2 linked regions of the Rattus norvegicus genome follow. The protein of the gene in region 1 interacts with the protein of each later gene in a pairwise test. Links are inferred from orthologs where the notes say so. Each region holds a gene or a part of one and is shown in the gene's direction. Other genes may lie near its edges. The genes, in order: Stk16 and Plscr3.

Region 1 (4,294 bases):
CAGGGAAGGCAGGTCGGGTGGCATCTTCGGACCTTACAAAGTTCTTCTATTCAGTGAGGGCTTTCCCACCCGTCACGTGTCGGATTCCTGGGAGGGAACCTCATCAAGCAAAGGGGCGGAGACCACCTCAAGTTTTCAGGCCAGTTAACCCGGACTCTGCCCGTAGCCTTCCACCATCCACTAGTTTGTAAAATCCTCTATATATTACTTCTCGAAGTGCTGAACCCGAATCAACTCCATTAGCATCACCTGGGAGCTAGTTAGAAACGCAGAATCTCGGGTCCTACCCCAGACCTGTAGAATTAAAGTCTGTACTTTAACAAGCTTGCTCTTCTACGCTGAACTCTCGGAGGGCGGGAACGGCGTCTTATGTCCTCATGACTAGCAAAGGATCTGGCACAAATCAGGCTAAATCTATATGAATGGTAGCAGTAGGGTCAAAACGGATTCAGAAACAGTGGAAACCAGAAAATCTTCATGGTGATCATGACTATGAAAAGGGGAAATGGGTTACAAGGAGCCTGTTCTGGTCACTCTTATTTTTAAGGCGCACCCCTTTCCAATATATACCTGTCTGTCTAGGCAGGAGATGTGACGAAAACTGCATAAGCTTAGAAGTCTAATTTTCCATTTCTTCTGCCTTCACACCAGTGGATTTCAGGGTCAGGGTAGAAAATACTATAATTTCTGTTTATTAACACACACTGAAGGCTATGTTTCAAAAACTGTACAAAAGACATCTCATTTAGTTTTGAAACAGCCCATGAAATGATTTTCATTCTCATCTTACACACGAGGAAAATGAAGGTTGGAAATATTACGTGACTGTCCAAAGTCACAACTAGTTCAGTAGAGCTGGGATTGAACTAGTCACTTTGGCCTCATAATTCACAACACTTTGCTGTAGGTACTGACTTACAGCTGGGAAACATGCGGATCTGAAAGACTAATTCCTGGAGGTGACAAAGCTAGGAGACTGTTAGGACCAGATTTAGAAACTGGCATCTAGTTCAAGGGCACACTCTGACACTGGCCAGGTAGTGGAACACAGGCCAGACCCCTAAAAGTATTAAGGGGTCAGACCTCCAGGGATCTAAGGGTCAGCACCCGCCTTTCTCTGGTCCCTCCTCAAAGCTAGATTGTAATAAGTCACTTTCTAACTCCAGCGCGCGGGAGCTATAAGGCCTCCTACCTCCGACATTGAGAGACGGAGGTCCTAGGGGACTCGGGCAGAGCCCTGCTTTGCTCCCCTTTGGTACAAGTCCCTGCGTCTTGACCCTTACTGAAGGGCAAGTGGGAACCCTCGGCGAGATATAGAAACCAACCCACCCCAGGTCTAGCCCGGCCCCGGCCTCTCACTTCCGGGTCCCCACATCCTCTTGCCGCCTCTTGTTGCTAGGATACAGCAGGCCGTTACTTCGACGCGGACTGATGATGTCACCGTAGCTTCCGGTCCCTGGCCCTTTGCACAGGCAGGAGCCAGGTCACTGAAGAGTTTGTATTGGCAGATCCTGTGCTCGGTCCTCAGCGACGGAGGGTGGACTCGGCCAGAGGTGGGCTCGAGTCCCGCACCTACTGCGCCACCCCATGCCTCACGGGTGTGAGAGCTGGACCTGGCCGAAGGTGGGCCGGGGTTGAAGGAAGCGGCCTGGTAAGACACAGCGTGGCCTGAGGCTTTGGGGTGCCAGAACTCAGCCTTCTTAGAGCTGGAGTCACCAGGGACTGTTTTCTTTAGATGTGAATCTGGGTTCTCGGAGGTGAACCTGAGCTCTACTGGTTGGTATCTCAGTGGCTGTCTGGATTGTTCTTTACCCGCGACCTGCTGTTTTCATTCCAGCATGATCCGCCGGGACCCCAACCCATCGTCTGGAAGAGCCCACTCTCCCTGGAAGAAAGACCATCCTTGAAGAGGATGACTGAGACGCTATGGGCCATGCACTGTGTGTCTGTTCCCGGGGAACTGTCATCATTGACAATAAGCGTTACCTCTTCGTCCAGAAATTGGGGGAGGGGTGAGTGTATGGAAGTCACTTAGCTAGACCCAGGTCATTTAGGGGCAGTAATAGGGACACAAGAGTATTAGCCTTAGATTCTACCTCACCTGACCGGTTAGCTGAATAGGTCAAGAATTGTATTCTAGGCCCTGGCCTCCTGAATCTACTTTGTGTGACCTTAAGTAAACTGGTTTCTTCTGCTTAAACGGAGATGATTATAATGTCTCACTGAGGGACTGGTGAGAAAACTAAGTTAGATAGTATATTCTTTAAAACATGTCACCCAGTGCCTGGCTCATGAGCACTTACTAAATTTTGATTGTTACTTGAAATTAATTGAGCATCTTATGCTCAGACCAAAGGGTCTCAGTGATTTCTGTGCCCCTGCTCTTGAAGATGGCAGACCTTAACGTCTTGAAACTATATGAGAACTACATCGTGGGAGGGTTTCTACTCCATGTGAGAGGCACCCTTCCCTAAGGGAATTTCTCGGGGTCTAAGCCATATGGGAGACGACCGTGGTCCTTCATCGACCCCTTTGGCCCACAGTGGGTTCAGCTACGTGGACCTAGTGGAGGGCTTACATGATGGACACTTCTACGCCCTGAAGCGAATCCTGTGTCATGAGCAGCAGGACCAGGAAGAGGCCCAACGAGAGGCAGACATGCATCGCCTCTTCCAGCATCCAAACATCCTTCGCCTCATGGCTTACTCTTTGAAAGAACGAGGTGCTAAGCATGAAGCCTGGCTGCTGCTACCCTTCTTCAAGGTCAGAAAAGCTTGTGGTTATAGAGGGGATTGTAGCATTGTACAACCCCACCAAGGGCTCTGTGGGCAGTCAAATATAAATACCCTAGGAACACACACCCTGGTTTTGGCCACTTTATATTTGGGGCTCAGAGAACCATAGGATCCCCTATGAACTTGACATCACACATAGCCCCAAATGATCAGTGAGAGTGTATGTGGTAAAAGGGTTGACAGACTTCAACACAAAATAGAATCCTGGGAAATGGAAGCTTCAGAATGTCTCAACACGGAAAACTTGTGTTGTAGAGAGGTACACTGTGGAATGAGATAGAAAGGCTGAAGGACCAAGGCAACTTCCTGACTGAAGACCAAATCCTTCCGTTGTTGCTGGGTATCTGCAGAGGCCTTGAGGCCATTCATGCCAAAGGTTATGCACACAGGTCAGTGGGCGGGCCCTACACTTATTGAAGCCAGGGGAAAGAGCAATGCCAAGAGAAGTGGGGTTTCTCTGCACTCTCTTCATGGTGCTCCCTGGGATACCAGCCTACCTACCCAGGATGCCTTTGGGTCATTTTCACTTCCCTCCAGGGACCTGAAGCCCACCAATATTTTGCTTGGTGATGAGGGGCAGCCGGTTTTAATGGACTTGGGTTCTATGAATCAAGCATGCATCCAAGTGGAGGGATCTCGCCAGGCCCTAGCTCTACAGGTAAGAGAGTCCCCAGGTTTCTTTGGCCATCTCCTCCCCATCCCCAGACCATTCTGATGCATGCACCAATTTGGTCACATGATATGGCTTGTGCTCCACTTTTGAGCTCTGGGGACACTGTTCCAGGACTGGGCAGCCCAGCGGTGCACCATCTCCTACCGGGCACCTGAACTTTTTTCTGTGCAAAGCCACTGTGTCATCGATGAGCGGACTGATGTCTGGGTGAGGAGCATGTGGGTGGGAACCTGGGTGGAGAGGGGTGTGGCTTTGTAACTATTTTGGATTAAAGGGAAGGAGACTTGGTTTCTGTTGCATGGAACCCCAGAGCCACAGTATGTCTCCATACCCGTCCACTTCCTTCCTGGGAACCATCACTGACACTGTTCTCAGGAAGCTGTGCAATCACTGTGGCTGAACTGCTAGAGGCACTGGCTAAGCAGGGGCACACAGACCTCCTTCCTGCTAACATGGTTCCTTGGAGCGAGGTTGGCATATTTTTAGCTTACATGGTCTCCTTTTACCATAGCAATAAGGAGAGAGATGCCATTTTTCACCTTCCAGGAACTAACCAAATTATGCTCAGTCCCTAGGCTGTGTGCTTTATGCAATGATGTTTGGGGAAGGCCCTTATGATATGGTGTTCCAGAAAGGTGACAGTGTGGCCCTTGCTGTGCAGAATGACCTCAGCATCCCACAAAGCCCCAGGTGAGGAGTAAGAGGACACTGAGCATTGTAGACTTGGCCTAGAGCCAGCCGAGTTGGAATCCTAGCAGTTCTAGGTGTCCTCCAGTCCTCTGCCTTCCCCATCCCACAGGCATTCTTCAGCATTGCGACAGCTGTT
Region 2 (4,398 bases), on another chromosome or scaffold:
TAACCACTGAGCCATCTCTCCAGCCCCCGAAATGGCCCTTGTTAATAAGACTGTCCACTGCTGTGTGCCTCAACCTAAGCCTACTGAAGAGGGCTTGTTTAGAATTTGGGGGCTGGTAAAGCTTTGGCTCATTGGCTGCCTTTCCAGCATTAGTTAGAAGTCCCCGAAAGGGGCTGCAGAGATGGCTCAGCGGTTAAGAGCACTGGCTGCTCTTCCAGAGGTCCTGAGTTCAATTCCCAGCAACCACATGGTGGCTCACAACCATCTGTAATGGGATCTGATGCCCTCTTCTGATGTGTCTGAAGACAACGGGATCTTAGAGGTGCTGGGTCAATAGAGACAGCAAAATACCTGAAGCCAGGGATTGCATGAGCAGGCTGTAAATGATGGGGCAATGCAGGGCAAGGGATAGGGGTCTATGCTGTGCAGAAGCCTCAGAGGCTCATTTTCTTCTTTGTACATCCTGTCTCTGAGGCACAATGAAGTCATGTTTCCTCAGATGCACATCAAGACCACCGTCACTGCCCTGGTCTCTGGTCCAATCCATCACATTATGACCAGATTTCTCCTTACCTTTGCCTGCCTACAGCCTCCTAGGTTTTTCTAACACAGCAGTGCTGTTTTGGCTGTACAATAAAACTAGAATTCTCAGAGTCCCTAGTCTGCATCCCAAGCACGGAAATATAATTGGTAGCATGTAAGACCCAGGCACAAGTGGTGGGCTGTTTTGGGCTTTGTTTCTTTAATATCTCCCCTAGTGACCCAGGTCACTCCCAAGCTGACCGGGAACCCATGATCCACCCCATCTGCCCAGATACTTTGCTTTCTTCTTTTGAGAAAGGGAGTCTTTTAAGAAAGCCCCCCAATTGTAGCCCTGAATTGGTCTGGAACTATGTAGAACAGACTGACCTCATACTTGTAATTATTCTCCTGCCTCTCCTTTCCCAAATGCTGGGATTCCAAGCTTTGCCACCATGCAGAGGAATGGAGGGGCCTGTTCTGTTCAAGTGTTTTTCCCTGAGCCTTACCTCATGCACATTCATTACTGATACCGTTTGAAAGCCTGTCACGCGTGTAATGGGCGCGCCTGAACTGAGAGGTGACTGAGTGGGTCAACGCTGTGACAGGGAGAGAACACAGCGAGGTCGCCCTGAGATAGAAGACTGCCAAGCCAACTCTGGAAGGCAATGAGGGAGTGTGAATAGTGTTCCGCTGCGTCAGCGAGGCCCGACCCGCCCTTGGGAGGAGGATCCCGGGGTCCGGAGCAGCCACGCGGTGGGGAGGCAGAACCGCCACCCGCTGAAAAGGCGAGGGTCTTGTTGCTGGGGATAGGGCCGCAATCACCCTCCGACAGCCCAGGTCTCCACGCCTCTGCAGTCGGAGCGGAAGGGGCGGGACCAGGGCGAACGAGGCGCACAAGGTCCAAGGTCCGCGGCCCCGGGGGAGGAGAAGCGCCTGCTTTCTGCGCAGTCGCCCCGCCCGGATTGGGGGTGGGACTTAGGCGACCCGGGGGTGGGGTCAGATCTGGGCCCGCCTCCACCAGCGCCTGTGAGCCCGGGAGTGCGTGGCCCCCCCCCCCGGCTTTCTTATTCTGGGGGCTTCAGGTGAGCGCCCGGACCATAAAGGGGTTAAGGAGACTTTCCTCAGGGTCAGGTCATCTGTTTGACCTCAGGTTCAACTGCTCTGCCGTCTGCCCACAGCCATCTCCGCAAAAAGAAATGGGAGAACAAAGGGAGGGGGCGGTCCTGGGGCCCCTAAGGAAATTCAGGGTCCTGGGTAACCCGCCCCGCCCGCTGACACTTTCGATTTCATAGGTGCCTCCCAAGAGACCCTGGGCCGGTGCTGGGCGCAGCTGCCTCTTCGCCTCTGCTTGTCCGTCTTTGTTTCTGTGCCTGTCTGGCTGTTCCCAAGCTTGTCCCCACTCCAGAACTAAGCCTCCCCTACGCCGACAGCCCAAGACACCCTTCCCCTTTCCCATGGCAGGTACGTTGGCTCTAGGTTGGGGTCTCCGTTATCCCCCCTCACGAACTTGGGTGCCGGGTGTCGAACACATTCTCCAGGAATGTGCTCAGACTGGCTGCGTGGGGCCCTCCCTTCCTCCTGGGAAACCACCGCCCTGCCCCCCCCCCCCGCCCCATCATTCTCTGCCTCTTCTTACGTTTTCCGCGGGTGCTCCTGGTCCTTGGGCTGAGAAAGAGGATAAGGACACAGGTAACTTTCTAATCTACCCCTGCTCCCCTGCAGGCTACTTGCCCCCCAAAGGTTATGCCCCTTCGCCCCCACCTCCCTACCCCGTGCCAGCTGGGTATCCAGAGGCGGCGGCGCTGCATCCTGGACCCGGACAGGCTCCAGTGCCCACCCAGGGGCCTGCCCCTGCGCCTGGCTTCTCTCTCTTCCCCTCGCCAGGCCCGGTGGTCCCAGGGCCTCCTGGTCCCTTCGTGCCATTGCCAGGGGTGCCTTCTGGCCTGGAATTCCTAGTGCAGGTGAGTGGGAGAGAGGATGGCTGGGAGGAGGACTGATGTTCGAGGTGAGGAATGAGGTCAACGCTGCTCTTAACACTTTACAGATTGATCAAATCTTGATTCATCAGAAGGCTGAGCGAGTGGAAAGTGAGTAGGAGGTGGAATTAAGTTGGGCTTCATGATGTTTGTGACAGTGGTGAGTTTCTGGGCAGGTGAGGCCCCTGAGCCTCAGCGTGTTCCCCTTCACAGCGTTCCTAGGCTGGGAGACCTGTAATAGGTATGAACTTCGCTCCGGGACCGGACAGCAACTGGGTCAGGCAGCTGAGGAGAGCAACTGCTGTGCCCGGCTGTGCTGTGGTGCCCGCCGGCCGCTTCGTATCCGCCTAGCGGACCCCGGGGACCGCGAGGTGCTCCGCCTCCTCCGCCCACTTCACTGCGGCTGCAGCTGCTGTCCTTGTGGTCTTCAGGAGGTGGGCATGACAGGTTTTGTGGTGGTCGGTGGGCAGTGTGGTAAGCGGCCCAGAAAGAGTTGTGGCTTTAGGAGGAGTCGGGGCGGTCGAGTGTCTGATCAGTCAGAAGACAGCAAGCAGCAATATAGGGCGCTGGCCAAGGTACCGTGGCTTGGCAGTGGACCTGTCTGCTTCCCTTTCCAGATGGAAGTCCAGGCCCCACCTGGCACCACCATTGGCCATGTGCTACAGACCTGGCACCCCTTCATTCCCAAGTTTTCCATCCTGGATGCAGATCGCCAACCTGTTCTACGAGTCGTAGGGCCTTGCTGCACTTGTGGCTGTGGGACGGACACCAACTTTGAGGTATTATAAATTGGGGGGGGGGGGGGGTTGGTTTCTAGACTCTTCACAAACCAAGATGGGGGCCGATGAGATGGCTGTAGCCATGAGTCCCACACGGTGGAAGAAGACAATCAACTCCTGCAGACTGTCCTCTCCACACACACGCCGTGGTGCATACAGTCAACCAACCCATCAATCAATGTAATGGGGGGGGGGGAGGCAATAGCCTCCATGCTAATGGATGGCTTAAGGTCAAGACCCTTAATCCTACCATTCCCGATCTCTTGTGACCCCTGCTACGTTTTGAGTTTTCTTCCACCCAATAATGTGAGCCTATAAAAGCACACCAAAAAAACCCCTCATGACAGCGCACACTTTTGATCTCAGCACTCAAGAGGCAGAGGCAGGCAGATCTCTGAATTCACATCTACTTAGTGAGTTCCAGGACAGTCAAGACTATATAGAAAGATCCTGTCTGAAACCAAAACATTTCTTCTTCTTCTTCAGTCCAAGGCTGAAGTGTTCCCTACCGCCCAGCAAGGGCCTAGGGGAGCATCTGAGGCCAGCCTGGACCTAAAGTGGAGGAGTCTCATCTCCCAGCCTTTCACTGCTTAAGTTTGTCATGGGCTGGACCCAGGTAGCCCTGTGCCTATCTGTAAGCATAGGCCCTTTCATAATTTAACCCTTGGCTTGTCCTGCAAGCCTAGAAGTCCAAAGGACCCATCCAACCTGAAGTCCAGGTGATGTCCTTTTCACGAAGGCTTTCCTCTCACCAACCCAGAGCCAGGGGAACTCAGGTGAGGAGCTCTGGCTCTTCGAAGGCAGCGGTGCTGCTCTGATCCTTGAGCTCTTTAAGGGATGATTTCCCATTCTGATAAGGGAGAAACAACAAGTTTCCTCCAGTAGAGGTTCTTCACCTAAGGTTGCCTTTAAAAGAGTGAGTCACCTTGGTAGTCAGAGGCAGTTTCTGTGCTGAGAACCGGTTGGAGAGGAGATAATTGTGTGATCTCTGGTGGGAGTGTGTGTGTTACAGGGCTCTCAGGGAGTCAGTGTCCCTTGAACTCAATCTTGAATGGTCCATATTTGAGCCACACTCTGGGAGCTGCGGAGTTGTCGGCCCTAGACTTTGTGGAGCCTGGAAC

Evidence for each region.
Region 2: the proteins of Stk16 (region 1) and Plscr3 interact in binary tests that used the Homo sapiens proteins (3 or more experiments, as listed by UniProt). The two-hybrid records come from large-scale screens. The link is inferred for Rattus norvegicus from reciprocal best matches to the Homo sapiens genes STK16 and PLSCR3.

The regions. Positions count from the first base shown.
Region 1 is NC_086027.1:84,152,829-84,157,122, forward strand, and holds the start of Stk16 (serine/threonine-protein kinase 16), read left to right. Parts: upstream 1-1,456; 5' UTR 1,457-1,651; intron 1,652-1,837; 5' UTR 1,838-1,926; coding exon 1,927-2,012; intron 2,013-2,543; coding exon 2,544-2,763; intron 2,764-3,050; coding exon 3,051-3,184; intron 3,185-3,332; coding exon 3,333-3,453; intron 3,454-3,579; coding exon 3,580-3,675; intron 3,676-4,036; coding exon 4,037-4,158; intron 4,159-4,267; coding exon 4,268-4,294. Other genes in the region: Glb1l (beta-galactosidase-1-like protein precursor), read right to left, coding at 1-24. UniProt on the Homo sapiens protein: Membrane-associated protein kinase that phosphorylates on serine and threonine residues. In vitro substrates include DRG1, ENO1 and EIF4EBP1. Also autophosphorylates. May be involved in secretory vesicle trafficking or intracellular signaling.
Region 2 is NC_086028.1:55,064,063-55,068,460, forward strand, and holds the start of Plscr3 (phospholipid scramblase 3), read left to right. Parts: upstream 1-1,542; 5' UTR 1,543-1,604; intron 1,605-1,814; 5' UTR 1,815-1,976; coding exon 1,977-1,983; intron 1,984-2,244; coding exon 2,245-2,483; intron 2,484-2,566; coding exon 2,567-2,609; intron 2,610-2,711; coding exon 2,712-2,932; intron 2,933-3,115; coding exon 3,116-3,277; intron 3,278-4,398. UniProt on the Homo sapiens protein: Catalyzes calcium-induced ATP-independent rapid bidirectional and non-specific movement of the phospholipids (lipid scrambling or lipid flip-flop) between the inner and outer membrane of the mitochondria.